7 linked regions of the Macaca mulatta genome follow. The main gene of each other region encodes a partner of the protein of the gene in region 5 in a complex. Links are inferred from orthologs where the notes say so. Each region holds a gene or a part of one and is shown on either strand. Other genes may lie near its edges.

Region 1 (4,264 bases), on a different chromosome or scaffold from region 5:
CCTCGCCAAACAGGTTGTCTTGGATAAAGAAGGATTTTCAGTCCTGCTATTGGCTGATGGGACCTCCAGTGCCTTCTTCAGCCTGTTGGTGGGGATGACGCCCTCAGAGTGGCAGGTTGAGCACTCTCCTCCCAAGCATCGCTGAGCACTTGGGTGTGGAAGGGTTGCCTGATACTGAGGGTGGGGCGCCTGGAAGATAGGCGATCAGGTTCAGCTCTTGCCTTGCCCTTTATGGTTAAATGTTCTTTGGAAAGCTTCTATATCTCTCAAATCCTGGGGGCATTATGATCTTTCTTCTGCCTATCCTAAACCATCTTCAGCCAGTACTGTTGGGAGAATACAAGCTCCAGGGCAGGGTCCCTGGTCCGTCTGGATGACCCCTCTGGTTCTGGCACATAGCTGGCGTTCTATGGAACCAGGTATTTATCTAAAAGCAGGGACAGTGGAATGTGAAAACGTTTTGCAAACTCCAAAGCGATTCATAACCAGACAGAGGTCCAATCCTAGGGTATACGAGCTCTCTTTTAAGCACGGATCACAGCTGCTTCTAACGCCACCGAGACGCGGTCAGGACAGGTGCATCCATCTTCTCTGGGCTTCCCCTCTTAAAAGTAGGCCAGGGCGCGCAGCGGTTGAGGGTTTCTCATTCCCAGGGGGGAATCAAACTTGGAGGAAAGCAACCACGGGCGAGGAGCTGGGCGCGTGGAAGCGAGCCGCGGTCCGAGGCTCAAAGAAAAGCCCAAACCTCGCCCCCGCCATCGCGCCGGACGAGACACCTAAGTCCGGGGACAGGTATGTGCCGGGGAAGTCAGGTGCACTGCACGGCACTCCCCCGGTAGGTACACGCTCCTCCACCTACGAGTGACCTAATTACAAGGTGCCAGCCGCGCCCAGAGGTGGAGGTGGTTAATCCAAGCGGCCACTCGCTGCCCGTTCCTGCCCCCAAAGATGAGGGAAACCCACACGTTTACAGCGCCGCTGCACCCCGGATGAGCCATGGGGTCGCAATTCTCGTTTCCGTGATCGGGCTGCCAGGCCCCAGGTGAGGAGCTGAGTTCATCACCAGAGCAGCCTTCCCATGGGAACCAGTTCCAGGCCGTCAGTAGCCCCGGTTTCCACCCGGTCTGCGCCTGCGCGCGGTCCAAGTCCTCTCCTCTCAGGGTTTAGCGCTAAGGGATTAGTCCAGTTCGCCGCTGTGCGCACTGCGCATGCTCCAGCTCCATCCTTCCCTTCCCCCACCACCCCGCCCTCCGGGAGCCACGCCCAAAAAGTCAAGGCGCCTCAGTTACCAACCGGCTACGTCGCGCCTGCGCTTTGACCCCCAGTTTGCGCCCCAACTCCGGTTGTGCGGCCGCCCGGGGTGGGCTCTGCAGTTGCGCAGCTTGCTCCCCGGCCCTCTTCCCCTCCGCTCCCCGCCGCCTCCTGACGCCGGGCGTGACGTCACCACGCCCGGCGGCCGCCATTACAGAGAGCCGAGCTCTGGAGCCTCAGCGAGCGGAGGAGGAGGCGCAGCGGCCGACGGCCGAGTACTGCGGTGAGAGCCAGCGGGCCAGCGCCAGCCTCAAAAGCCGCCAGAAGTACAGGAGGAACCGGCGGCGGCGTGTGCGTGTGGCCCGTGTGCGGGCGGCGGCGCGGGAGCAGCGCGGAGCGGCAGCCGGCTGGGGCGGGTGGCATCATGGACGAGAAGGTGTTCACCAAGGAGCTGGACCAGTGGATCGAGCAGCTGAACGAGTGCAAGCAGCTGTCCGAGTCCCAGGTCAAGAGCCTCTGCGAGAAGGTGAGCTGTACTACGGCTGCGGACAGCTGCCGCGGGGCCAAGCCCGCCAAGGAAAAGGCGGCCGTGAGGAGGGTGCAACATGGCGGAGGCCTCCGGCCCGGGTCCCCCGAGCCTCCGAGACCGGCGCCCATCCCGGCCGGCGGCGGCTTCCGAGCGACCCGGCGCCCCCTGCCTCCCGCGCAGGGATTGGTTGTCGCCGCCACCGCCGCCTAAAATGGCGCCGTTCACCCGACTCCTGGGTTTTTGAGTCTCCCGGCCTTGGCGCCAGACGAGGTGGCAGGGGGAGCGGAGACCCTGTGGGTCAGCGTCGTGGACGGTTTTGAGGGTGAGCTGGCTTGGATTCTGCGGCTTGGGAATGGAGCCTGGGCCTCTACGGTGGGCTGAGTAAGAGTCTTTCCGCTTGTACCCAGGCCTAGTTAGGTCCAAAGCTGCCCAGAGGATCCCCACAGGCAGTCTTGTTAGACCATATCCCAGAACATATCTAAAGGTCACACAAGTTTAGTACCCCTTGGTGGCTTGTATTAAACTCACTAAGCGATCTTCTCCAGAAACCAAAGGGGTGTCTTTAAGAATTTAAAAATTATTCTCTTAACCTAATTTCTGCGAAGGTCATGGTGGTAGGTATAAGATAGGAGTTTAACTTATTTTTCATAGTTGGAAGAAATCGGGAATTTGGTGAGTCATACTACATAAGGAGCTTTTGGATTGGCAATCAAGTGTCACTTGAATCTATGATTTATATGCTGACTCAAAGCCTTCTCTAAGCTTAACACACTTGGCATTTTGCCATTTATTTTTAAAATGAACAACATAAAATGGAAGAGCGGTAAATTTTGTATCTTTGTTGCAAAAGTTACTTCATAGTATTTTGTGACTGCTGGTAGTAGTAGTAATAACTGTCGACTGAGATTGTATTCCAGACATTGTGCTTAGTGTTTAAATAATGTCTCACACTGAAAATAGAATGTTGTAGTCCACTTAACCCTAAACTTTATATTAGCTAATTCCGTTTTGTTTTCCCCTAGGGATTGGGGAAACAGGTAGCTAATTTAACTATTAGCTGTGTGTTGTATTTTTAAATTCTTGTAACTCAGTTTTCTAAAGTACACAAAATGCTGATCTCTGCTGTGAACATTTTAGCTTCCCTTTTCAAAATTAACTTTGCAGCATGTCGCTTTAGTACGGAATGGTGGAGTATCATATTAGCATTTTGTATTCGTGAAAAGAATCAATGGAAAACTATTACCCTGATCTGTTTGTGGTTTGATGTGAAAATTAGGTTCATGAGTTTGATGTATATGTTTTCAAGACAGGCTTTTTTAGAAGCCATGTTGTGAACAATTGGAATTTAAGTAAGTCAAATTTAGATTTATTTCTCCCAAGCCTGAACAAAACTACTACTAGTGGATGAGGTGGTACATCATTTGTTGGAGATGGCTTTTAATGGTAGCGATGTATTAAATCTCCTGTTTCTTTACCCTCTCACATCAAATGAGGTTGGTGTTTATTTTGAAGGTTTAAAATTGGCCTTTCAAAATGAATGTATATTGCCAGGTCTTAATTTCTAGGTACTATACATATGCCGATTTTTGGAACTCAGTGCATTATATGACTTTTAAGTCAATAGTTGGCCAGTTGACTAGTCTTTTGAAGAAAACATGGAAAGGAGGGAGGTAATGACGTAACTGAAAGACTGGACTGCGAGTTAGATTTGGACATGAATCCTTCCGCTCCTACTTGAGTAATTGGGAGAGACTTTGGGACAACCACTTAACTTGGTCCTTGTTTTCCTGTCTATAAATTAAAATGTGTTCTGAGATTATACAGTCAATTCCGTTTTAAATTAGTGTGTTTAATATTGAACACCTATTGAATATCCAAGATTGCATACTCTCTTGAGGGAAATGAAAAGCAATGAAGAATAAGTATGCTTACTGTCAAGGAGTTATAAATCTAGTTGGAAAGAAAAGCGTGGTATGAAAAGGTGTGGGAGATGGAGCATGGAAGTAGAGGGTTTGTGCTGGAAACTGTTGTAGAAGATAAGATATATCATACTGGATGCTAAAGTGGGGTGAGTGAAGCTAGTGCATCTAATATTGCTTTCCACATCTTTGTAAAACTAAGATGTAGTGAGGTGAATCTCCATTGCTTGCTCTGCTTACGCAAATTTTAGTTCTGAGTGCCAAAAAAGATGGAAATAATATTTGAGAGTAGGTGTTTTATATAAAAGTTTCCATGGAATGGATCCGTTTTGGTGGATGTCATTACACAACCTTCATACTGTTTATAACTGGTATTTCAACTTTGAGGATGATATTAAACTTCCAAACTAAATTAATTTGAAGACAGTTTTTTTGAGTATGTGGAATCCATGAACTGATATTTTTTGTACAAGTCTTTCTAATAAAACAAAAGCTGTCTTTCACTGTTAATGTTTGTGTGCCAATGGCATCTGTGGGTAAAAGCTACGTATGTGCTCTTTGGTGT
Region 2 (4,288 bases), on a different chromosome or scaffold from region 5:
ACCCACACTCCCTCCCCAGTGCACCCACACTCCCTTCCCCAGTGCGCCTACTCCCTTCCCCAGTGCACCCACACTCCCTTCCCCAGTGCCCACACTCCCCCCCCAGTGCGCCCACTCCCTTCCCCAGTGCGCCCACTCCCTTCCCCAGTGCACCCACACTCCCTCCCCAGTGCGCCCACACTCCCTTCCCCAGTGTGCCTACTCCCTTCCCCAGTGCGCCCACACTCCCTCCCCAGTGCGCCCACTCCCTTCCCCAGTGCGCCCACACTCCCTTCCCCAGTGCCCACACTCCCTCCCCAGTACGTCTACTCCCTTCCCCAGTGCCCACACTCCCTTCCCCAGTGCGCCCACACTCCCTCCCCAGTGCCCACACTCCCTCCCCAGTGCACCCACACTCCCTCCCCAGTGCGCCCACACTCCCTTCCCCAGTGCGCCCACTCCCTTCCCAGTGCGCCCACTCCCTTCCCCAGTGCGCCCACACTCCCTTCCCCAGTGCGCCTACTCCCTTCCCCAGTGCCCACACTCCCTCCCCAGTACGTCTACTCCCTTCCCCAGTGCCCACACTCCCTTCCCCAGTGCGCCCACACTCCCTCCCCAGTGCGCCCACTCCCTTCCCCAGTGCACCCACACTCCCTCCCCAGTGCGCCCACACTCCCTCCCCAGTGCACCCACTCCCTTCCCCAGTGCACCCACTCCCTTCCCCAGTGCGCCCACTCCCTTCCCCAGTGCGCGCCCACTCCCTTCCCTGGGTCTGATCGCACCAAGAACCAACAGCACACAGTCACAGGGCACCTCAGAGCTCCAATTTCTCATCCCGTGACCCAAAGGAGCTATTTCTGCAGTTCTTAAAAATAAACTGGTGGCCGGGCACGGTGGCTCACGCCTGTAATCCCAGCACTTTGGGAGGCCACGGCAAGCAGATCACCTGAGGTCAGGAGTTTGAGACCAGCTTGACCAACATGGTGAAACTCCGTCTCTACTAAAAATACAAAATTAGCTGGGCGTGATGGCACACGCCTGTAATCCCAGCTACTCGTGAGGCCAAGACAGGAGAATGGCTTGTACCTGGGAGGCAGAGGTTGCAGTGAGCTGAGATTGCGCCATTGCACTCCAGCCTGGGCAACAAAAGTGAAACTCTGTCTCAAAAAAATAAAAAATAAAAATAAAATAAACTGGTGACAGATTTTTCTCCCAGCACCTTAGTCATGTAAGTTACCAGATACAGAAAGTCAAAAATCTGTTAGCTTAATTCAGCATCAGTCAGCAAGCCCCAGTCCCATCTGTGACCGCGCAGGTCCAGGCTGCCTGGCCCAAGAGCTGCACACGGTATTCCGGGTCTCTAGGCTGGTCCAGTTTCCTCCAAAGCAGCCCTGACTCCAGTTCCTGCCCCTATGCGGACAGACGCCCTTCCTGTTCCACTGCACACCCAGCTCTCAGGAATTCAGCACAGAGGAGTGAACAAGGAGGGCCACACATTTTAGCGGCGATTCCAACACCTTAGGCAGAGCCAAGGCATCAAGGAGAGCAAAACCGAACGCTAAGACGTAAAAAAACCCAGCAGCCAGAGTCAAAAAAATGGGGAGAGGTACACAGTGCAAGTCTCCAGGTCCCAGGCTGGCTGTCCCCACCCTCCTTCCCTGGCATGCCCTGTGGCAGCAGCAGCTGGTCCTCATTCCAGACTAAGGGCTCGCTGTAGTGGCTCCTTCCGAGGCTGTCCCACCAGACGCTTCAAAGTGGCTCCATAGTGGAACCGACTTCTTCAAAGAGGAATGACGAGCCTCCTGTTCGGGCAACCGCCCGTAGCAGGGGTTAAACGGTTCTGAACAGAGCAGCCTTTTCACCTTCCCCTGGGCCAAAGCACACACGCGTTCTCCGCTTTCCCTGCACACCGGCCGCTCAGATCGGCTTCTCCACGTTCCCAGCCCCTCAGCGCCCATCAGGGTCTCCTCTACGGCCCCCGCCCAGCCCAACACGGCCAGAACGGCCGGAACGACCCGTGGCCCGGGCTCAGGCCGCAGTGTGGCCCCTGACCTTCCACTGCCTTCAGATGCCGACACGAGGTTCCCGCCCCGCGCTGGGGGCAGCGTCCTGTCCCGGAGCCGGTGTCTCTTCACGCACCTCCGCCGCCCTCGCACAGGCGGAGCCACCCGGGGCTCGGTGTCAAGAGGTCTGCGAGCTCCTACCACGCAAAACGCCACAAGCACACGGCAGAGCCCGGGGGCCGCCCTGCGCCCACCTCAGGACGGCTCCGCTGGTCGCACGACGCGCGCTCCTTCCCTCACCCACCGCCCGCTCCGGCGAGGCGCCCCTCGGAGCCCCCGGGAAGCTCTGGCGCCCCTCGCTGAGAGGCCGCTAGTCTTCCTGAACTGCACCCTCCTCACCTGGTTGGCAAATCCCCGGAGGTGAGCCATGGCCGGGCCGCCTCAGACCCTCCGCCGACAGCCCCGAGAGGCGTCTGGATCCCGCGGAGAGGCGTGGAGCCGGCTCGCTCGCCCCTGCGGCGTCAGTCCACTGCGAGGGACAGCAGGAGCGGTCGGCGCCCAGTTCAGTCATCTGAGACCTAGCTCCGGGGCGGCGGGCTGGAGGGGGGCCCCAGGAGACCCCCAGGCCATCGGGGCCCCGCCACGCCCGGGCCTACAGCCCAGGCTCCCGGGGACTCGCCGCCCCTCCCGTCCCCGCCCCCACCTCTTCCGAGGCAGCTTCCTCCCGGTGCCCCCGCCCCGGAGTCCCCGCCACCGAGCCCCGCCCCGGGCCCCTCCCTCCGCCCCCTCCCCAATCGCCGCTAACGCGCGCCCGGCAGCGCGCCCACCTCCGCGGGGCTCCATCCCGGCCTCCCCCGGCCCGCTCTGCAGCGCCCGCGAAGGCTCCCACCCGCAGCCTCTGTTCGCCCGGGGACCCCGGGCCTCCCAGCCCGCGAAGCAACGGCGGTGGCGGCAGCGACAGGAGAAAGCCCGGAGGAGGCGACGGCGAGGGCGGTATTCGGCGTCGCGGCCCGCGCACGGCTCTCTGGGACCCCGAGTCCCACCGCCCATTCCGGGCCCGGAAGCCTGCTGGCGTTGGACTACAAGTCCCGGCAGGCCGCGAGAGAGGGGCGGGGCTCACATGCGCGCCGCGAGGCTCTCTGGGACCCCGAGTCCCACCGCCCATTCCGGGCCCGGAAGTCTGCTGGCGTTGCACTACAAGTCCCGGCAGGCCGCGAGAGAGGGGCGGGGCTCACATGCGCGCCGCGAGGCTCTCTGGGACCCCGAGTTCGGCTCCCGAAAGGCTTGGACTGCGTCTCCCAGCAGGGCGCGCGGCGGGGCAGGCGGGGCACGTGGTCGTTGTCGCGTCGCGTCTTCCGTGCCTCGCCCTCGCTGGCCTTCTGCGTCTGCTGGCGCCTGCAGGGCGTCGTCTCCGACGTGACGGCGGCCGCGCGGCGTTTCCCTTGGGCTCTGCCCTGCGCAGCCCTGGTCCGAGCTGGCCAGTAAGGCCCCGCGCCCTCCCCGCCTCGCCCCGAGGATCCACCGCGGCCGCCCAGGCTGTTGGCCTTGTCCTCACGGCTCGGAGATAAGCCGGCGCTGGTCACACCGCGAAACCCCTGTTCGCACCGAGACCCCGCTCGGGATCATGCGCACAGGCCAGGGCGCAGCAAGCCTTGGAGAAGCTACCTGCACAGCCCATTCCTTGCGCGAGCTTCGCATCTTCTGCCTCAGTTTCCTTACCTGTAAAGGGGTGATCATAGGACATCCTTGGTCACACCTTTGTGGGACCCACCTGGGCTAGAGCGCGGTACCCGCCCAGGACAGTGACTGCTGCTGGAAACCGTCGTGGCACTGGGGTCACCTCCCCAAGGTCAGGGAGGGACTTGCAGAGCCCAAGGCTACCTGGTGCACCCCCCTGCCCCGTGGGCCGCCAGGTCATAGTGCCCCCTGTGTGCATTCCCCTGGTGCACCGCAGGGATCCCCACCTGTCCGGTGAGGAAGATTTGTCTGTCCTCCACTCTGTGTCCACCCTTACAGGCCCTCAGTTTCCATGATGGCTCAGCACAGATGACTATCCTGACCACCTCACACCCCTCCTTCCTCAAGAGGGTTCTGGCGTTTCTCTTTGCTCCCTGGTGCGTGTTTTCTCATGGTGCGTTGCCAAGTCCTTTAAGAAGCCATGTTTCCCTGTCATGCATCCAGGACAGCCCCTTGAACCCCTGGGTCCCCATCTCATCACCCCTGCTTGTTGACATACTGACTTGGTTTTGTTTGTGCTTTGACTCCCCAGGAGGAAGTGGGCTTCCTGCAAGCAGAGCTGTGCCCAG
Region 3 (3,500 bases), on a different chromosome or scaffold from region 5:
ATTTCAAACCAGAGACCTCTGTACCTTTATTTGAACATATTGGGATAAGTTGAGTCTCCCTTCAGTAGGTCGCTAATTAAGAGTTCCTGTCTTGTGCTAAGAGTGCTGCTGGGCTCTGGGGATACAGTGGAGAGCCAGTCATATATATCTGAAGGAGCACAGTCATTCTAAGCCCACAGTAACAACCAGCGAGCCGTCCCGAGCCCCATAGTCCCCCAGAAACATGAGATCCCAATTCAGTCACCAGAGTTGTATGAGACAGCACAACTGTACCTGTTCATGGGAAACTCAGGTCAGGTTTTCGATCCTGACCTGTAGCTATTATTAGCTTGGGCAAGCCAGTCCGTACCTCAGTTTTCTCTTCTTTAAAATCAGGACTTGCTTTATAGAATTCAGTGAGGAAAAACAAGCACCCCTGGTACAACACGGTGGTCCTGCCTAGTACACACAGTGAACTGATGTTCTACGCAGTGTCAGTGATGATCATTGCACTTTGAGAGGCTAAGAACTTTCTCCTCAGAAAGTGATGTGTGTAATTTTCAGATTCATGGACCCCAGTGAAACTTCTTCAAGGACCCCTAAGTAAGAACCTTTGTGGAAGGCACGCTGACAGAGACCTTCTGCTGGCTGGCATAATATTACGTTTTTCCTTTGAATCATTCACTGCAACCATTTTAAAATGCTCTTTTAATGAAGGCTGGGATGGGTAATAGGGAAGGTTTCTCTGAGGAGATGAGCCCATGAGGGGGTTGCAGGATGGGGGTCCAGGGCCAGGGATGGTAGAGAGGGAGCTGTCCAGTGACTTCATATTCTCACGACAGCCACCCCTGGAGTCGCTGGCCACAGTGGAGGAGACAGTGGTGCGGGACAAGGCAGTGGAGTCCTTACGGGCCATCTCACACGAGCACTCGCCCTCTGACCTGGAGGCACACTTTGTGCCGCTGGTGAAGCGGCTGGCGGGCGGCGACTGGTTCACCTCCCGCACCTCGGCCTGCGGCCTCTTCTCCGTCTGCTACCCCCGAGTGTCCAGTGCTGTCAAGGCGGAACTTCGACAGTGAGTCTCTGCCCCCCTTGGAAGCTCCAAGCTCCCCCCTCAGCTCGGTCCCCTTCTCTAAAGCCTCAGCCTCCTTTCGGTCTGCCTAGGGCCCACACGCCCCTGAACTCTCTCCAGTCCCACTCCTGCTTACCACGTGGTAGGCCACATCCTTGAGAGTTGGTCTCTGGACACAGCCGCGTGTCAATTTACCACCTCTGCCCCCTTGCTCACTTAGGAATTGAGATGATGACAGGTCCTCCTTCCCACTGGTTAATGTGAGGATTTAAAAGAATTATCACATATAGGCCGGATGCAATGGTTCACGCCTGTAATCCCAGCACTTTGGGAGGCCAAGGCGGGTGGATCGTGAGGTCAGAAGTTCGAGACCAGCCTGACCAAGATGGTGAAACCCTGTCTCTACTAAACATACAAAAATTAGCCGGGCATGGTGGCGCACTCCTGTAGTCCCAGCTACTTGGGAGGCTAAGGCAGGAGAGTCGCTTGAACACAGGAGGCAGAGTTTGCGGTGAGCCGAGATCATGCCGTTGCACTCCAACCTGGGCGACACCAGTGAAACTCCGTCTAACAAAAAAAGGAATTATCACATATAAAGTGCTTAGAGCAAAATCTGGAACATAAAAACTTTCAGCACATCACATCTGATGGTGTCTCCAGCCTGTCCCAGGTCCGGTGCCTTTGGCAGGTAAACCACTTCAGTTTTCAGCCTCCTGCTCCTCTACTTTGCAAACAGTTGACCATCATGCCCAGGTTTGAGCCGTGGCTCACTCCAGAACTCTGATTTACGGCTGCACAGATGCTTAGATACTTACACTGGCCCTGACCATCTTTGACCGAAGCAATTGCTGCTGTAAAATAAAGCCTTTCTGTGGCTCTAGACTAGCCTCTTAGTTAAGCAGTTTTTTGTTTGTTTTTGAGATAGGATCTTGCTCTGTCATCCAGGCTGAAGTGCACTGATAGAATCATAGCCCACTGCAGCCTCAACCTCTTGGGCTCAAGCATTCCTCCTGCCTTAGCCTCTCAAATAGCTGGGACCACAGGTGTGCACCACCACGCTGGGCTCATTTTTTATTTTTGTTAGAGATGGGGTCTCACTATGTTGCTCAGGCGGGTCTTGAACTCCTGGGCTCAAGCAATCCTCCTGCCTTGGTCTTCCAGAGTGTTCAGATTACAGGTATGAGCCACTGTACCAGGCCCCTTGGTTAAGCAATTTTTATGGTCATGATAATGTAATTGTCAGCACTTACCATTGACTGGATTTATTATGTGCAGTCTGCGAAGTGTCCCACACACATTATTTCATTGAAACCTCATGCAGACCTGTGGGGTAGTTACTGTTACTATCAGCGCCTTTTCATAGGGCTGGGAAGACAGACGGAGTCATCACTTGCCCAAGGTCATTCAGCTAAATCCTGGACCCACACAACTGCAGTCTGTGCTTGCTCCTCTCTGCCGTACTGCCTGCTGCCTCATGATCCCCATCCCCGACTCCCAGGTACTTCCGGAACCTGTGCTCAGATGACACCCCCATGGTGCGGCGGGCCGCAGCCTCCAAGCTGGGGGAGTTTGCCAAGGTGCTGGAGCTGGACAACGTCAAGAGTGAGATCATCCCCATGTTCTCCAACCTGGCCTCTGACGAGCAGGTGAGTTTTGCTCCCTGGACCTCTCTGCTCTCACCTCCTTCTGCTGGTCCCTGCCCGTGAAAGAGAATCTCAGAGTTCAGCAAGGCCTCTGCTGCCCTCCTGCATTCCTCTCCTCTCCCCAGGACTCGGTGCGGCTGCTGGCGGTGGAGGCGTGCGTGAACATTGCTCAGCTCCTACCCCAGGAGGATCTGGAGGCCCTGGTGATGCCCACTCTGCGCCAGGCCGCTGAAGACAAGTCCTGGCGCGTCCGCTACATGGTGGCCGACAAGTTCACAGAGGTAGGTGAGCGACCGTTGACACTGTCCCACTGGTGGGGGACACTGACACCCTCAGAAGGGAAGCATATAGAAGCTGAGGTTTACCATTAGGCCGACGGAATCATTGGGCGTTTGAGCAATAAGATCTCTGTGATCGTCTAACTTCATCTCACTTTATATGCCAATCCTGGTTGATTGACATGGCATCTTGAAGTGCTGCCTTGAGAAGGATTCTGAGGCTAAGTTAAGGCTTCACGGAGGAAAGTGCCACAGGAGCAGAGAAGGGTAGCACATGTGGGGTGCTCCTGACATAATCAAGCTGTCCTTTCACAAAGGGGAAGACGCAGCCCAAAAAGGTGCAGTTTTTTGTTTGTTTGTTTGTTTTTTTGTTTTGAGACGGGGTCTCATTCTGTCCTCCAGGCTAGAGTGCTGTTGCCCAGCTGGAGTGTGGTGGTGCAATCTTGGCTCACTGCAACCTCTCCCTCCCGGGTTCAGGCAATTCTCCTGCCTCAGCCTCCTGAGGGACTGGGATTACAGATGCCCACC
Region 4 (4,243 bases), on a different chromosome or scaffold from region 5:
TTGATAAGAATCATATACTATTCTCTGAAAAAGATTTAAAAGGAAGAAGAGAAACTACCGTTTACCACTAGAGGCCCCCCACAATGTGGTGCGTAGAGACCCATAACAAATTTCAAGGTAAGGAACTTCATCTTCATTTAAAAGTGGCACTTGACTATTCCGTTTTTAAAAAGTAATTAACCCCTTACGTGTTCCCAAAGGTGCCTTCATAATGAAATTCCTGTTGCTATTATTACCAGTCTTACTGTCGCTACTGTTAGAGTACTCTCAAAACAGCCCGTCTCCCTCCTGAAGTGGAACTTAAAATGGGGCGGAGGCAGGGAGTTACCAAAACCACTGCAGTGTATGCTGAATTCAATAACCTGTACTGCTAACGATCCAATCTCATTTCCCAAACCTCTACTATCCTCATTAATTTTTCTGCCGACATACCGTCTGTTTTCCAATTTCCCTTTGCCTTACACGTGCAGAACTTATGGTAGAGAGAAGCCCCAGTTTGGCAGTTCTGCAAGTGATAGCCCAAGAGGTAGGGGGAATCTTAAGTTGAAGTCACCTGAAGCATGTCAGGGGTCAGGGAACTCGGAAAGCAAGAGTGTGGCCACGGATCTGCCAAGAAGCGCGACTCCCAACTGAGGAGACCAGATGGCGGGAAAAGGCGGGGGTCCACCGACTCCGCGGCTATCTGTGATCCTACCCTTGGCCAGGCCGGGGAGCCAAGAAAGACTTGCAACACTCCCCAAGTTTCAACTCAAGTCGTCTCCGAGGCTGCATGTGCCCCAGCCTCGCACGCCTCCCTGCAACGTGGCCGCATCTGGGGCGCCCTCATACCCTCAGGGTTTCCCAAACTCTTCCATTCTCTTCCCAGGCGCAGCCGTGTTCCAGGTCTCCCGGTCCCCGGGTTCTCCTCTTCGCGTGCCGGGAGAGTCTCCAGCTTCTCAGACTCCAGCAACCCCAGCCAAACCCCTTCGTTGCCTGGAGCCTCGGCTCCCGCGACACCGCCCGACTGCGGGGCGGGGGCAGGGCCAACGGCGGAACCGCCCCCAACCGCCTCCCCGGCCAGGCGAGCAGGCGGGTGGCTGGGGCGCCTCCACCTCCTCTTCCTAAAGCGGCGAGGCGCAGAGGAGCGGCATCACTCGAGCCCAGGTCCCAGCCACCACCACTCACAGCGCTCGGCGTTCAGGAAGAGGAGCAGCAGCGGAGGCGGCTGCTTCAGCGGCGGGCGGGCGCCAGAAAGGTAGACTGAGTCCCGGGCAGCTGCGCCGCGAACAGCCCACCTCCTAGCCCCGGGCTACGCGCCGCCAGCCCAGTAACCCCACTTTTGTGTGTCCTTCCAGGCCCCGATCGAAAAGCCTGGGAGGGCCGCCGAACTACCCCCGGAGGAGGAGCCAGTCCGAACCCAAGGCGCCACCGCCGCAGAAGCGGAGCGAGGCAGCAGTTGCCTCCATGGCCCACTCACCGGTGGCTGTCCAAGTGCCTGGGATGCAGGTGAGGAAGCGCAGGCCGCCCCCGCCGCCCACGTGACTACTTGGGAGCCCGGTGCGCTCTCGGTGCTGGGCACCGGCGACAAGGGTCGGCCCCAGGGCTCCCCTGAGGGCAGGGCCGGTCACTCTGGCCAGGTGACCTGGGAGTAGGGCTCGAGGTGTTTCCTGGTGTGTAGGCTAAGTAGTGCTCTTCGCTGGGAAGGCGAGGCGGGACTGAGGCGCGCAACTAGGTGGGGATTGAGGGCGGTTGGGGGTATAAAAATAGGCCAGAGCCACAGACACCTGCGCCTGCTGAGCTTGGCACGGTTGGGGATGGGGGGCCGGAACTTAACCTGGGAGAGATGGAAGTGCCTTGGGATTTGTGGGGTAAAACGCGAGTAGTGAGTGACCTACACCCCCCACCCCAAACACACACTCAAGTTGGGGCGGGGCAAGACCAGGGGTGGCGGCGGCGGCGGCTTGCATTGGGCTCTTCCTGTGTGCGTAGGGTTAAGAGAGAGGTGACCTCTTTCTCTCTTTCGGTACTGCTGCTTAAGGGCAAAGTTGTAGCTTGCTCCCCGACCCAGGCCAGCCCATAGTGTGGCGTGAGAAGTGCTGGTTCTGTTCAGAGTCGCTGAGGTGATGACTTCTCAGCCCCCTCTGTGCCTTTCCCACAAGATGACTGTTACATGTGGTTAAAGGAAGCTTTTTGTCTTGGACAAGGGACTACTGCATGGAACCCAACTTGTTACTCGAAGTCTACCCAGCCCAACCCCCTCCCATTATATTTTCATTTTATTAAAGGTAAGCTATGTCAGAAAACTTTTTATGCTGTTATGTTTTTAAATCGGTGCACTTTAGGCTATCTGCTAAATGTTACCCAAATCTACTAACTTTTTAAAGCGTTCATGTTCTATTTTTTTCCTTTGCTAGATGGCCCAAACAACCCATTTATGAATAGTTTAGAGGCTAAAACCACTAAAGCCTCAGTCCCTCATGATCTAAAATGTGAAAACAACCTTTTTTCAAATTCGAAAATAAAATGTTTAGTAGTAAATAGCTTATATTTCTAGTAGAAATCAAAGAGTTGTAGACTGGGGCCTCAATTTACTTGTTGATGCATGGAGTTCTTTTTTTGTTTGTTTTTCAGTGTTCTCATTTTATGAATGGCCACAAAAGTGATTTTTGAATTCTTTCCCAAAAAGGGATTATTTGTGCACCTAGAACTCCTGGTGTGTCCTAAACACCAGACATTTCAGCTGCATTTAGGGCAAGTCTGGGTTGAGTCTCAGGAAGTTAGTGTATATTAAATAAAGAGAGAGAGAGAGAGAAAGGGAAATAGGAAATAGTAGGGCTTAAAAAAGAAAAGATTAATCCACTCAAGCCTTGCAAAATGCCTCAAACTTTCTTCCTCTCAGGCGGCCTCCCCCCTCCTTCCCTCCCTCTTTTCCCCATGCACCCTGCCCCACACCCCATTCATTCAGTTCTGCCTTTGATTGTATCAAGGGAATTCATAGTTCTTAATACTAGTACAGTTTTGCTGTTTGATCTGGGAAAAAGTGACATTTTCTCACCGTGCTCTTCTTTCCATTCTGTGGAGAGTAAAACGATGCACATGTGAAGTTTGTCTGTGAGGGTCTCCATGCTTCTGGCTCCATTGTGTGCGCGAGCCTGCGTGCGTGCGTCAGCAGAGTGAGTGCCTCGCGTTCATCAAGTTTGTGATTCTGGGGAACTCTGTGTGCTGAGGGGAAAATAGTTTCTGATCTTTATTTTGTCTTGACCTTATTGAATTTATGTGGTTTAGGAACTGCTTGCTGTTCAGTATTTCTGATTGCTCCCTGCTTTAATTATCTGAGTTGCCTATCTCCTGAATTTTTAAATCTTAATTAATGTGGATTCGAATGTGAATCACATACTTTAAATTACAAATTCTGCCTTTCACTCTATGCCCTCTGAGTTGTGATTACTTTGTCCCACCTAATTTGAGTAGGGCAAACATCTCAATGTTAGCAAAGAAGAGAGGAATCTTTTTTTTTTTTTGGTCATTCTCTTCATCTTAATGAAATGGTAAATTCTTAACTTCTTATTTCCATTTTCTTTCTAATATAGTTCTTAAGCACTTTGTGCAGCACACAATTTTTTCCATAGTTGAAATTGTACAATACCTTAATAATAAATTTGATAGCATGCAGTGTGACTCTTGAACCTAGACTATTTTTATTATTGTTATGTAGCAAAATATTGCGGATGAGATGCAGAAATCTATTGTGAGCTTGTAAAATTCTCCTAGAGTTTTATGAAAGCGTCAGGAGCAACTTTTAGACCTTTAGAAAACTTGAGTTAGCCATGTGTTCTTGAAATTACTGTATAGTGTTTCCACAAATCAGGGTGAGGTGGCCGACCAGCCTATAACTTTTTAACAGTTTATTTTAGAGAATTATGTAGATTGATGGGAAAAATGATTTTTCCAGAAATAAAAACAAAATTGCTTTCTCCACAATTTTTTTCTCCCTCTGAGGAGAGATGTGGAGTAGAAGCTCAGCTACCTGTTCTATCACTTAAGACTTCCAGCATTCCTGACTTTCAAACAAAGAAATTGCTGTTGCCACTAGTTTAAAATAGAAAAGAAACTTGGAGTGAAGAAAGAAAACCCAGGATTTGGTCCAGTTCAAATTCTTCCTTTTGAATTGTTACTCAAACTCATATTGTTGATATTTCTTAATATTGTAGTAATGAATATTTTTGCCATATTACACCAAATGTTGAGGGTATGAAGTTTTTTG
Region 5 (3,500 bases):
GAACACAGGGCCGAGGGCCGGGATCCTACAGATAGAGTCAGAGAGGTGGCCTAAGGCCACTTTGCCAAGAGCCTGTAAGCAAAAGTAGAGAGCTTGAAGTAGACTCACAGTCAAAGGGAAGGAAGCCTTTGGAGATTTTAAGCAGGGGAGTGATATGATCTGATTTATGTTTCTAAAAACATCAGCTTCTGTGTAAAGATTGGACCAGAAAAGTGTAGACCCACTCCAGGGAGATTAGTTAGGAAACCCTTGAAGTAGTCAAGGTGAGAGATGATGCCGACCTGGATTTAGAGATGTAGCTGACAAGACTTGCAGTGCATTTAGATGTGGTTAGAGAGGCAAAGAAAGGAATCAAGAATAAGTACCATTTGCCAGGATGTGGGGGGAATATCAAGAGTTCTGTTTTGGTCATACTAAGTTTTAGATGCCCATTAGATACCCATGTGGAGCTGCAGGCAATTGGAAATACAAGTCTAAAATTCTAGGGAGAGGGCTGACTTTGAGAAATAAATTCGGAAGTTGTTTGTAACACTTATAGGCAGTGTTAAAGGCCATAGAACTGACTGAGATAACCCAGGGAGGGAGTAGAGACAGAAGAGAATGGAAGGCAGGACAAAGTCCTGGGGCACACCAGTATGTTGAGGTGGGCATGTGTCAGGAAAGGAGCCAGAAGAGTACGAAAGACAGTGAAGTGGCTGGAAATCCAGGAGATTATGATATCATAAAAGCTAAGAAAGTCTTTCAAGAAAAAAGGAGTGATCTGCTGGGTAAAATGCTACTAATAAGTGGCATTATGGTAAGAACCAAGGTGCCCATTGGATTTGGCAACATGAAGATAATGACCTTGATAAGAGCAACTGTAAGTGAAGTAGTGGGACTGAAAGCCTAATTGGTATGTATTGAAGGGAATGTCAAAAAAGGAGGTAGATGATATAAAAGTTTTGTGAAGAGGAGAGAAAGTGGATGGTAGCTGAAGGAGAATGTGAGGTCAAGGGGAGGATGTTTTATAGCTGAGAGATACTAGAACATTTTTTTTTGTCCTAAAATAAATGATCCAAGAGGGGATAATTGCAGGACTGAGGCATTCAACAAAGCAAATGGGTGTGGGATCCTGAGCACAAGTAGGAGACTGGCCTTTGTTCGAGCACAGGCGGTTCATCCTTCATGTTAAGAAGGAAGGAATAAGACTCTTTGTAGATGTAGTGTTGAGAAGATGAGTGTGTGCCTGTCTGAGTGCTTCTGTTTTCTCCATGAAGCGTGAGGCAGGATCAGCAACTGTTTAGGCATGGTGGGCAAAGGAGTTGGTTTGAGGAGAGGGAAGATGGTTTGAAATCGGCCTTTTGGAGAGCAGGAAGGCAAACATGCCAGGATTGCCAGGCTCCGCTGAATGTCCATTTAGGACTTACATCCATTTAAGCAGCAGATGAGTTGTGTGGGACAGAAGGAGGCTGGTTATTCTTCCCTGGCTCAGGGTCTCATGGTAGTGAACCCTTGCCCTGTAATAGAGAGACCTTGTAGGAGGAAGGAAACTGCATTGGTCAAAGATGACAGTGGCCTGAGCAGCCTATTGGGTCCCTGAGGCCCCAGCCTCCTCACTCTGATAAAAGGCTTAGTTAATGTCATCAATAGGACAGAGATAGTTATATATGAGGGGGCTGGTCAGAAAGGAGAAAGTGATGTAGGGGTGAATGGAGAGGGGAAGAAAATCATTTCCATCCACTTAAAAGCTTCTTTGCTGATATTCCTTCCTGTTTCACCAGGCCATATGTTACCCAACTTCCTTTTAAACCCTCACTATTGAGCCACCTACCTCTCCTTCCAGGCTTACAGAATGTTCTAGAGTTCTCAGCCTCAGATCAACACTATAGGAAGTGCTTCTGTAGCATCTGTTCCAGTTTCCCAGGTCCTGAGAGGTCATCCAGGCCAACCTGATGGTCCTATTGAAGAGAAAACTAGGACTCAGAGAAGGAATGTGACTTATCCAAGGTCATACAGTGAGTCATTAACACAGCTAGGGCAGAAACCTAGATCTGACTCCCAGCTTAGTGCTCTTTTCAGGTCACCCCTTACAACCAAGAAAATAAAGCCTTTGGTCACCTGGAAAGTGGCATTGGCAAACCATGTATTTCTTGCCATAGGGGGAAGAGGTGGTACCAGAGACGCCATGTGAAATCCTCTACCAGGGAATGCTGTACAGCCTCCCTCAGTATATGGTAAGGAGATGGTTAGGCCAGAGCTGCCCTTCTCTGCTACAAGGAACAGACAGCTAAAAACCATTTCAAGCGGACCTGTCCAACACTTGAACTTGTTTTCTGAGCCTTTGTGCCTTTGGCAAGGCATTCTCTGACACGTGAAAATTCTGAGCTTTCCTCAGTGCTCCTCTGATGGTGCTGTTCTCCCTAGTCCTTCTTTGGGAAGGGTGGGGAATAAGTTGGGGTCTCTACAGGATACACTGGGGACCCACCCTCCTCCGAGATAAGTACTGTAGTCCCTCTGAGATCTGCTGTGGTCTGTCATGTACTAGATAGCCTCAGGCTGGGAGTGGGGAAGATACCAATGGTTCGGGTTAGAGGAAAGAAAAGAGTGGGAGAAGTTGGGCTTATGCCTCCCACCTTATTTCTACACACTGTCCCTCTCACTCTGTTCCTTCCATCCTCCCCTTTGAAAAGAACAGTCTTTTTTTTTTTTAAGTGGAGTCTCACTCTGTCGCCCAGACTGGAGTGCAGTGGTGCGATCTCGGCCCACTGCAACCTCCACCTCCCAGGTTCAAGTGATTCTCCTGCCTTAGCCTCCCGAATAGCTGGGATTACAGGCATGCGCCACCACACCAGCTAATTTTTGTATTTTTAGTAGAGACGGGGTTTTACCATGTTGGCCAGGCTGATCTTGAACTTTCGACCTCAAGTGATCTGCCTGTCTTGGCCTCCAAAAGTGCTGGGATTACAGGCATCAGCCACCATGCCAGGCCCTGGAAAGAACAGTCTTAAAGCAGAACAGCCAATGCGCTCCCTCTGGCTTTCTCCTTAGCCTCACAGGCAGGCCTCTCAGGACTGGGCACCTGTTTGCTCTTCTGGACGCTGGGGAGATATGGTCATTGAGGGAAGAACTTGGAGAATGGCTTTAAAACACTTTTTATAGGGCAGTTAGGGTGCAGAAGAATCACTCCCTTGCTGAGTGGATTTGACAGTGGTGAATTTCTTTATTTCTACTTCCCAGATCGCTCTGCTTAAGATTCTGCTGGCTGCAGCTCCCACCTCCAAGGCTAAGACAGACTCTATCAATATCCTGGCAGATGTCCTACCTGAGGAGATGCCGTGAGTGCTTCAACGGGGGCAGCTGCTGGATACTAGCTGTCTTGTCTGCAGGCTCTCTCTAGTCCCCACTCACCTTGTTAACACTTACAGAGATTGTCTCCAAAGAGATCTCCTCCTCTCTGCCCACCAGTACTCCCTTCCCCCTTCAGGGCTTTCTGCTTTGCTCTTTTTAGCTCAAAACTCAGG
Region 6 (3,500 bases), on a different chromosome or scaffold from region 5:
TAGCACCATATGTCCTTGTTTTGTTTCGGAGTTTTCCAGCAGAGTTAGCTGAAGGCCAAACTGAGCCCCCCTTTTCTTAACTCTTGTGTAAAAACGGATCACGAGGTCAGGAGATCAAGACCATCCTGGCTAATATGGTGAAACCCCGTCTCTACTAAAAATACAAAAAACTAGCCAGGCGAGGTGGCAGGCGCCTGTAGTCCCAGCTACTCGGGAGGCTGAGGCAGGAGAATGGCGTAAACCCGGGAGGCGGAGCTTGCAGTGAGCTGAGATCCGGCCACTGCACTCCAGCCTGGGCGACAAAGCGAGACTCCGTCTCAAAAAAAAAAAAAAAAAAAAAAAAAGTGGTTACTTTTACAAGAGCACCATGGTTGCCTAATATGCCAGTTTTGGTAAAAGAATTACATGAGGAATGCAACATTTTCTAAGCACCTCTGGGGAGATGCAGGCTGAGACCACCACACCAGCATTTGATGACTACATCAGCATCTTGTGGTAGTGGGGCTTGTCCTGCATGCCACGATGCTCTGCATTTTATTACAAGATGATGTTTGTTGCAGCCACCATGCACCAGCACTGGTGGAGATACGTGCAGGCATGTCTTCCCTTACAAAGCATGTGTCTAGTATGGGCTTATGCTCCAGCACACAGAGCTCCACCCCACAGCTACCGAGGAGCTGGCTGAGAGGCGAGACTACGAGCACCTCCGGGGTAGCTGGGGTTTCACCCTTGGGTGGACGGGGAGGGAGAATACTCAAGGGTGATCCAGGTTTCTCATGAGTTTGAATCTGAAAACGTGCTTGGCTTTTGTAGTCAAGCTTTTGTAATTTGGAGTGAGTGGGAATTCGGTTCGACTCGGTATTTGGGTGTTCCTGGTGTCTATTCCAATTTGGGCTGTGCTGGTTTCCTTGGGAAGCACATTCCCTGTCACTGTCGCCATCCTCAAGGCAGGCAGCTGACCAGGTGCTGAGCCCAGGGCATGGGTGAAGTCTTCAGCCCAATCACAAGGGAAGGGAGGGACCTGGGAAACAGCCCTTCTCAACTGGGAAAGTTGGTGATGCAGAGCGCCCAGCTGCTCTTTCAGCAGACAGGAGAAAGGGCATCTCCTGGCTCCTTTCCGGTTTCTTTGAGAGAATTCCAAATTGACGTTTCTATTATATGGTTGGATGTGGCCAAACGTTAAAAAATTGGGTATAGTGGCTCAGGCCTGTAATCCTAGCTACCCAGGAGACTGAGGTAGGAGAATCGCTTGAACTGGGGAGGTGAGGTTGTAGTGAGCTGAGATCGCGCCACTGCACTCCAGCCTGGGCAACGAGCAAAACTCCATCTCAAAAAAAGTTAAAGCGACATAGAACATACATTCTGTCAGCTATTTGCCATAAAGTATTTCATAAGCTAGGAGATAAGGTCTCTTAAATGATCCCTGTGAAGCTCTGTGCAGAGGTTTCTGTGGAAATGCATTTATTAGGGACCTCCTTAGAAAGTCACTGCCCTGCCCACCATGGTACCTGGAGCCCAGGCATAGGTCCTGAGCGCCTCGTCTTTGGGTGAGTCACAGTGAGAAGAGGTGCGGAGTAGAATCGCAGCCATCAGGTGTCAGTGTGGCGGGTTGACATTTTGAGGCAGAAGTCTGTCCTTTGGGGTGGGATCAAGAGCTTCATCTCATATTTTGTTGTTGTGTGTGTTTTTCCAGAGACCCACTGCTAAGGAGTTACTGAAGCACAAGTTTATACTACGCAATGCAAAGAAAACTTCCTACCTGACCGAGCTCATTGACAGGTACAAGAGATGGAAGGCCGAGCAGAGCCACGACGACTCGAGCTCCGAGGATTCAGACGCGTAAGTTGGCCCCTGAGCGACCCGAGCGTGTGTGTGGGAGGGACCCACTGGTCTTTGTCACTTGTTTGGTGTGGGTTTCGTTTTCTGTTGAGTTTTTTTTAGACAATCCAGGCTGGTGGCGGTTGCTGTGTTAGCCACATCCTGGGCCTGTTGGGGAGCTGAGCCTCTGGATGTTGCTGGTGGAAGTTCTACGAGTGAACTCTGTGGCAGAGCTGTGCGTAGGGAACTGGACCTGGCTGTTTGATTCTGTTTTGTTTCGTTCGGTTCTGCTCTGTTTTGTTTTCCATTACACTTTCTGTTCTTAAAATCATGATCAGGTGAAACTGCTTTTCATGGATGTCTGAAAGGCCAGAAATGCACGTGTTTGTGATTCTCTGTTGTGTCTGGTAGAAGCTTCTGTACCAGCGGTGACTTTCTGAGAACTGCTGTCAAGTTCGGCATCTAGGAATTCCCTTGGCTGAAGAGGCGAAGCGGGGCTGGAGCCATTTGTGTGGCGAGGGCTGGGGAAGGCGGTCGGGTAGGCTTGTGTCTGGAAGTCCAAGCCTGGGCTCGTCTGTTCTCGTGCATGCCTTGGCAGCAGTCAAACTTGGCCCACAGTGCAGGTCCATGCGCCAGGCCAGATGAATGAGGATTTCCGGGGGTGACACCCTAAGTGGGTTTTCAGTGTCTCTAGGTGATGGCAGTTTAAAGCCAAGTTTGAGACCACTGCCCTCGGAAGTTCCTGAGGCACTGCCATTGGGAGATTGCCGGGGTAGCGACAGGGATGACAAGATAGAGAGACTGGAGAGAGGTTTGAGAGCCAGGACGTGGCGGTGGATTTGGGTGAAGGAGGGAAGCCCACGTTCCAGGCTTGGGCAGCGTGGCCACAGGCGTTGTGATGTGTGGTGCAGGAAGCCGAGTGTGGGGTGGACCATGTATGAGTCTGAGTTGTCCAGGAGGAGACGTCCTGTGTGAAGTGGCACCGAGGTGTGGCGTTCAGGTGAGAAAGCTGGGCAGGTGAAGTGGGCTTAGGGGCCACTGCTCTGTGGAGGTCACTGGAGCCAAGAGAACAAAGGGTGTCAGTCGGGGCGTGTGGGGGAGTGAGGCCGGCCCCTAGGGAAGCCGGCGTGAGGGTGAGGCTCCGCCTGTGAATGAGAGGGGAGAGGTGTGGCCGAGGGGCGGGAGGAGGTGCAGGCTCAGTGGGGCCACAGGCGTCAGGATGATGAGCAGGGCCAAGGGCTCATTGCCTCTGAGGCCCACGCAGGACAGGGAGTCAGCACACATCTCATGATGGGGGAGGGAGTGCTCGGAGGGACACCGGCGGGCTTTGGAGCGAGTGGAGGGTACCAAATAGAGGCAGTGAGTGTGGATCCTGGAACCGGGGCTGAGAGACGGCCGAGGTGAGGCCGAAGTGTTGGAATGACAGGCACGAGCCACCACACCCAACACAGGGACATCTGCTTTCCTGGTGAGAGGAGGAGCCCAGCAGAGAGAAGCTGATGGCCCAGAGATGGGCTCCCAGGGAGGCGGGGGAGGTGTCCTCCAGGAGGAGGAGGAGAGTGGGCACGCACACGCTGGCACACCAGGGAGGTGCGGGAATCACCTCGCGATGGTCTCGTCTCTGTGAGGGAGGAGGCGGGGCATCTCTGGAAAATCCCCAAGGGACTGGACATGGGTGTTAT
Region 7 (4,184 bases), on a different chromosome or scaffold from region 5:
CAGCAACCTATAACCATCCCTCTAGCATGAATGTGTCCAGAAAAGGTAGGGCTAGAAGCCAACAGAAGCTGTTACCATGACAACCCCCTCCCTAGACACACTCCACCTCTCAGAGATTCTTAAAACATCCCCTGGCCAGGGGTGATGGCTCACACCTGTAATTCCAGTACTTTGGGAGGCTGAGGCGGGCCTAAGGCTGATCACCTGAGGTCGGGAGTTCAAGACCAGCCTGACCAACATGGAGAAACCCCGTCTCTACTAAAAAAAAAAATTAGCCAGGCGTGGTGGCACATGCCTGTAATCCCAGCTACTCGGGAGGCTGAGGCAGGAGAACGGCTTGAACCAGGGAGGCAGGGGTTGTGGTGAGCCGAGATCGGGCCATTGCATCCCAGCCTGGGCAACAAGAGTGAAACTCCGTCTCCAAAAAAAAAAAAAAAAAAAAAATTCCCCTCCTTGGTTGGGCTTGGTTCCTAGGGTCACTCGAAGGGGGCTTCTCTATTACCATAGTAACCAGGCCTTGACCTTGCCTGTTTCTCGTCCCCCAGAGGATGGTCCAGGCCCTGTAACCATAGCAACTGCCCCTCAGCAGAGCATCTCCTCCTCTAAATAAAAACACCTGGTTGGTTTGGTGCATGGGCCTCCCACAATGGGAAGGGGAAGACGGTTACCATGGTAATGCCAACTAGGTGGCTATGGGGGAGGGGCTGGGGAAGACGTGCTTCTCTTAGAGATCAGCGTCTTTGGGGCTGGGGTACTTTCTACCTGAATGCTAGGTGTGGGGGGTTGCCATAGTAACCAATGAGGAAAGGAGCAGAAGGACCACCAGGGACTTAGGTTACCTTAGCAACCTTCTCCTGGTGCAGAGTCCGAAGAGGTTTGGGGCTCCATAACCACAAAGGTGGAAGGGAGGGGAAGGCTGTCCCCCACCAACTCGCCCCCACCAATGGGGAAAGGTTACCATGACAACCGACCTGGACAGGAATCAGAGAGGATGGGGCCACTGCTGGTCGCCCTTTCTCTCAGAGTAAAAGTAATTGTCCAGGAGAGTGATGTTTGGGTGTGGAAGGGGTAAGGCTCTTTTTCTGGGGCGGAGTAGGAGGAGGGGGGCAGAAAGTGGCCCCTTCCTCAGTCTCACTCCAGCGAGGGGGACCGTCGTGCGGGGTCTGGGTCTCCCTCGCCCTCCTCGGGGCGCGATCTCCCTCTCGCCGCCCCCCGCGCGGGCACGCTAGCCCTCGGGGTCGACCCGGGTGGGCGAGGCTCGTGCCCGGCCTCGCGCTCGCCACCAGCCCCTCTTCCCACTGTCCTCCGTCAGGCGCGCGCGCGGTGGTGGTGTGTGTGGTGCGGGGGGGGGGGGTGTTGGAGCGCCCGCGCAGGCGCGCGAAGCACAGCGGGCGCGCGGGCCGGCCCCGGGGCCTCCATGATGGAGGAGCGAGCGGCCGCCGCGGTCGCCGCCGCCGCCTCCTCCTGCCGTCCGCTCGGCTCAGGCGCGGGCCCTGGCCCCACTGGGGCGGCCCCGGTCTCCGCCCCTGCCCCCGGGCCGGGCCCGGCAGGTAAGGGAGGCGGCGGCGGAGGCAGCCCTGGGCCCACGGCGGGCCCGGAGCCCCTGAGCCTGCCGGGGATCCTGCACTTTATCCAGCACGAGTGGGCGCGCTTTGAAGCCGAGAAAGCCCGCTGGGAGGCCGAGCGCGCCGAGTTACAGGTGAGCGCCGTCCCGGGACCCCCGACCCCCCAACCCCACCCGGCCCGGCCCGGCCCGGCCTCACCCGCCGCCGCCGCCGCCGCCATCTTGGAGCAATGGCCGCCGGGACGGCCGGGGGGGGGCGGGAGGGGACCGCGACGGTCCCGGAGGGCGAGTGAGGGGCCGTCCGAGGGGTGTCCTGAGGGCACCCCGGGTGGGAGGGGACCGGGACGGCCCGAGGTGGGAGTGGAGGGACCGGGAGTGGGAGGGATCACCGGGACCGGCCGAGAGAGAGGGGCCGAGGTACCAGAACTGGCTGGGAGTGGGACTGGGACTGGAACTGAGCGCGCCGGCCGCGGGGCTCCTGAGAGAGGCGACTCGGGCCCTGGAGGGGAGCCCAAGAGAACTCGGGAAAGGGTGTGGAGAGGAGCTGGAGGGGTCTGGGAAAGACCTCAGTGGTCTCCTGTGGGAGTGAGCAGAAGCTCGGCGGGCGCAGAGGGACCCCCGACCCCGGCCCTAGCCAGGTGCAGGTGGGAAGTAGAAGCGTCCGAGGGGGGACTTGGGACACGCTGGGAAAGAGCGGATCCAGACCGGGAACCGGGAGGAGTTAGGGAGAGGAAGTCCGGGAGCCTGAGATGGGTGTGTTTCGGGGCGACTGGACAGTGGGCACGGAAGGGTGGCTGTGTAAGGACCCGAGAGGTGGGAAGAGAGTTTCGAGGGGTCCAGGATGAAGGTGTGTGCCTTTCCCTCTTAGGGGAAACTTTGGGGATCCCGGGCATGTGTGGCTGCAGAGTGCAGGGAAGGGATCTTTGGAGTGGAAGTGTGGACAGAGCAGGAGATGTACCCTAGGAGCCTGGGTGGGAGAACTTGAGAGTGGAAATTCCACTTGGGGGTGTGCAGGAGTGGGCGCGATGGCACTGAGATGGGACGTGTGTGTAGGATGTAGGAAGAGAACCCTGAACTGGAGTGTGGGGGTGTCGGGCATGTCCAGTATGGAGGTGAGGGTCCTGGGATGGTGCCAATGAGGACGAGTTAGGTGTTACCCTGGGGTGATGCTTTAAGGGGGAGAATTTTGTAGAGCCCGAAGGCAACATGAGGAGGCATCTCAGAGAGAACGGGGGTAGGGTGGGGTTGGGGGGAAGGAGATATGTTTGTGGAAGTCCTGGGAAAAGACCCCATGGTTTGTGGGGTAGCTTGGGACAGGGATGTGCTCCGGGCTGATGTATGGAAGAGTCTGAAGAGTTGGGCTGGGGTTTGTGACCTCGTGGAGCATCAGGTCCATTGGCAGTGACTGGAGGATCATGGAGATGTCCGGATTTGAAGGGATTAGGAATGGCCCACTGGAGGTCTGAAGATTCTTGGACTGGGTTATTATTAGCAGAAATTGTCAGTACTTTTCTGCTAGTATTCCTTGTAGCAGCCCACGTTTCCCCTTCCGATTTGCCGTTTTCTATCTAGTGGAAGCTGGCACCCAAATAAATAACTGATGAGAATTTTGTCGGTAGGGGTGGGGTGCGGTGGTTCATGCCTGTAATCCCAGCACTTAGGGAGGCTGAGGTGGGAGGATCCCTTGAGCCCAGGAGTTCCAGGCCAGCCTGGCCAACATAGCAAGACCTCATCTCTACAAAAAAGTACAAAAATTAGCCGGGCGTGGTGATGTGCACCTGTAGTCCCGGCTACTCAGGAGGCTGAGGTGGGAGGATTGCTTGAACCCCGGAGGTTGAGGCTGCAGTGAGCCGTGATTGCACCACTGCACTCCAGCCTGGGCGAAAGAGTGAGATCCTATCTCAGAAAACAACAACAACAAAAACGGTATTTTGTTCGTAGGATGAGTAAAGACCTCAAGTAACTCTCCCCCTGCCCTCACTTGTGGTGGCTGAGGCTTGGAGCTGGGGTGGGAGCAGAATCCTTATGTAACTGCTCTCACTTGTGTCCCACTCTCTACTTCCGAAGCTCTTTCCCAGCATACATCTCATCAGATCTTCTCAGTGCCCCGTGATGTAGGCAGAGGCAGTGTCATTACCTCACTCAGCAATAACGGCACCAGCTGCAATTTAGTGAGCACATACCATGTCTGGGGCTGTGTATCAAGTACTGTAGATACGAGCTGTCATTTCATTCTTATGGCCTTCTGGAAGGGTAAAGGATATTCCCCCTGCCTTTAAAAAAAAATCACGAGGAAATGGAAGTTTTGAGAGGGTGATTTATCGAGGATCCCAGCAGATGGGCAGAAGGGCTTGTCTGTGGACCTTTTTTTTTTTCTTTTGAGACAGTCTCACTCTGTCACCCAGGCTGGAGTGCAGTGGCATGATCTCGGCTCATTGCAACCACTGCCTCCCAGTTGCAAGCAATTCTCCTGCCTCAGCCTCCCAAGTAGCTGGGATTACAGGTGTGCACCACCACGCCTGGCTGATTTTTGTATTTTTAGTAGAGATGGGGGTTTTGCCACGTTGGTCAGGCTGGTTTTGAACTCCCGGCCGCCAGAGATCCACCTGCCTCGGCCTCC

Evidence for each region.
Region 1: STRIP2 (region 5) and PPP2CA share a complex: the UniProt entries of both Homo sapiens proteins name them as parts of the core of STRIPAK complex. The link is inferred for Macaca mulatta from reciprocal best matches to the Homo sapiens genes STRIP2 and PPP2CA.
Region 2: STRIP2 (region 5) and STK25 share a complex: the UniProt entries of both Homo sapiens proteins name them as parts of the core of STRIPAK complex. The link is inferred for Macaca mulatta from reciprocal best matches to the Homo sapiens genes STRIP2 and STK25.
Region 3: STRIP2 (region 5) and PPP2R1A share a complex: the UniProt entries of both Homo sapiens proteins name them as parts of the core of STRIPAK complex. The link is inferred for Macaca mulatta from reciprocal best matches to the Homo sapiens genes STRIP2 and PPP2R1A.
Region 4: STRIP2 (region 5) and STK26 share a complex: the UniProt entries of both Homo sapiens proteins name them as parts of the core of STRIPAK complex. The link is inferred for Macaca mulatta from reciprocal best matches to the Homo sapiens genes STRIP2 and STK26.
Region 6: STRIP2 (region 5) and STK24 share a complex: the UniProt entries of both Homo sapiens proteins name them as parts of the core of STRIPAK complex. The link is inferred for Macaca mulatta from reciprocal best matches to the Homo sapiens genes STRIP2 and STK24.
Region 7: STRIP2 (region 5) and STRN4 share a complex: the UniProt entries of both Homo sapiens proteins name them as parts of the core of STRIPAK complex. The link is inferred for Macaca mulatta from reciprocal best matches to the Homo sapiens genes STRIP2 and STRN4.

What each region holds. Positions count from the first base shown.
Region 1 is NC_133411.1:143,126,130-143,130,393, reverse strand, and holds the start of PPP2CA (serine/threonine-protein phosphatase 2A catalytic subunit alpha isoform), read left to right. Parts: upstream 1-1,464; 5' UTR 1,465-1,675; coding exon 1,676-1,777; intron 1,778-1,969; exon of another isoform or gene 1,970-2,102; intron 2,103-4,264. UniProt on the Homo sapiens protein: Catalytic subunit of protein phosphatase 2A (PP2A), a serine/threonine phosphatase involved in the regulation of a wide variety of enzymes, signal transduction pathways, and cellular events.
Region 2 is NC_133417.1:146,800,741-146,805,028, forward strand, and holds the start of STK25 (serine/threonine-protein kinase 25), read right to left. Parts: upstream 2,801-4,288; intron 2,745-2,800; coding exon of another isoform or gene 2,412-2,744; coding exon 2,382-2,411; exon of another isoform or gene 2,032-2,381; intron 1-2,031. Other genes in the region: uncharacterized protein LOC106992798, read left to right, coding at 2,410-2,744, 2,801-3,467. UniProt on the Homo sapiens protein: Oxidant stress-activated serine/threonine kinase that may play a role in the response to environmental stress.
Region 3 is NC_133424.1:64,406,338-64,409,837, forward strand, and holds part of PPP2R1A (serine/threonine-protein phosphatase 2A 65 kDa regulatory subunit A alpha isoform), read left to right. Parts: exon of another isoform or gene 1-677; intron 678-821; coding exon 822-1,054; intron 1,055-1,685; exon of another isoform or gene 1,686-1,701; intron 1,702-2,549; coding exon 2,550-2,697; intron 2,698-2,819; coding exon 2,820-2,975; intron 2,976-3,500. UniProt on the Homo sapiens protein: The PR65 subunit of protein phosphatase 2A serves as a scaffolding molecule to coordinate the assembly of the catalytic subunit and a variable regulatory B subunit.
Region 4 is NC_133426.1:138,491,849-138,496,091, forward strand, and holds the start of STK26 (serine/threonine-protein kinase 26), read left to right. Parts: upstream 1-1,443; coding exon 1,444-1,485; intron 1,486-4,243. UniProt on the Homo sapiens protein: Serine/threonine-protein kinase that acts as a mediator of cell growth. Modulates apoptosis. In association with STK24 negatively regulates Golgi reorientation in polarized cell migration upon RHO activation.
Region 5 is NC_133408.1:169,105,831-169,109,330, forward strand, and holds part of STRIP2 (striatin-interacting protein 2), read left to right. Parts: intron 1-2,138; coding exon 2,139-2,213; intron 2,214-3,216; coding exon 3,217-3,314; intron 3,315-3,500. UniProt on the Homo sapiens protein: Plays a role in the regulation of cell morphology and cytoskeletal organization. Required in the control of cell shape. Calmodulin-binding scaffolding protein which is the center of the striatin-interacting phosphatase and kinase (STRIPAK) complexes.
Region 6 is NC_133422.1:93,164,386-93,167,885, reverse strand, and holds part of STK24 (serine/threonine-protein kinase 24), read left to right. Parts: intron 1-1,693; coding exon 1,694-1,839; intron 1,840-3,500. UniProt on the Homo sapiens protein: Serine/threonine-protein kinase that acts on both serine and threonine residues and promotes apoptosis in response to stress stimuli and caspase activation.
Region 7 is NC_133424.1:59,223,516-59,227,699, reverse strand, and holds the start of STRN4 (striatin-4), read left to right. Parts: upstream 1-1,384; 5' UTR 1,385-1,417; coding exon 1,418-1,699; intron 1,700-1,763; exon of another isoform or gene 1,764-1,855; intron 1,856-4,184. UniProt on the Homo sapiens protein: Calmodulin-binding scaffolding protein which is the center of the striatin-interacting phosphatase and kinase (STRIPAK) complexes.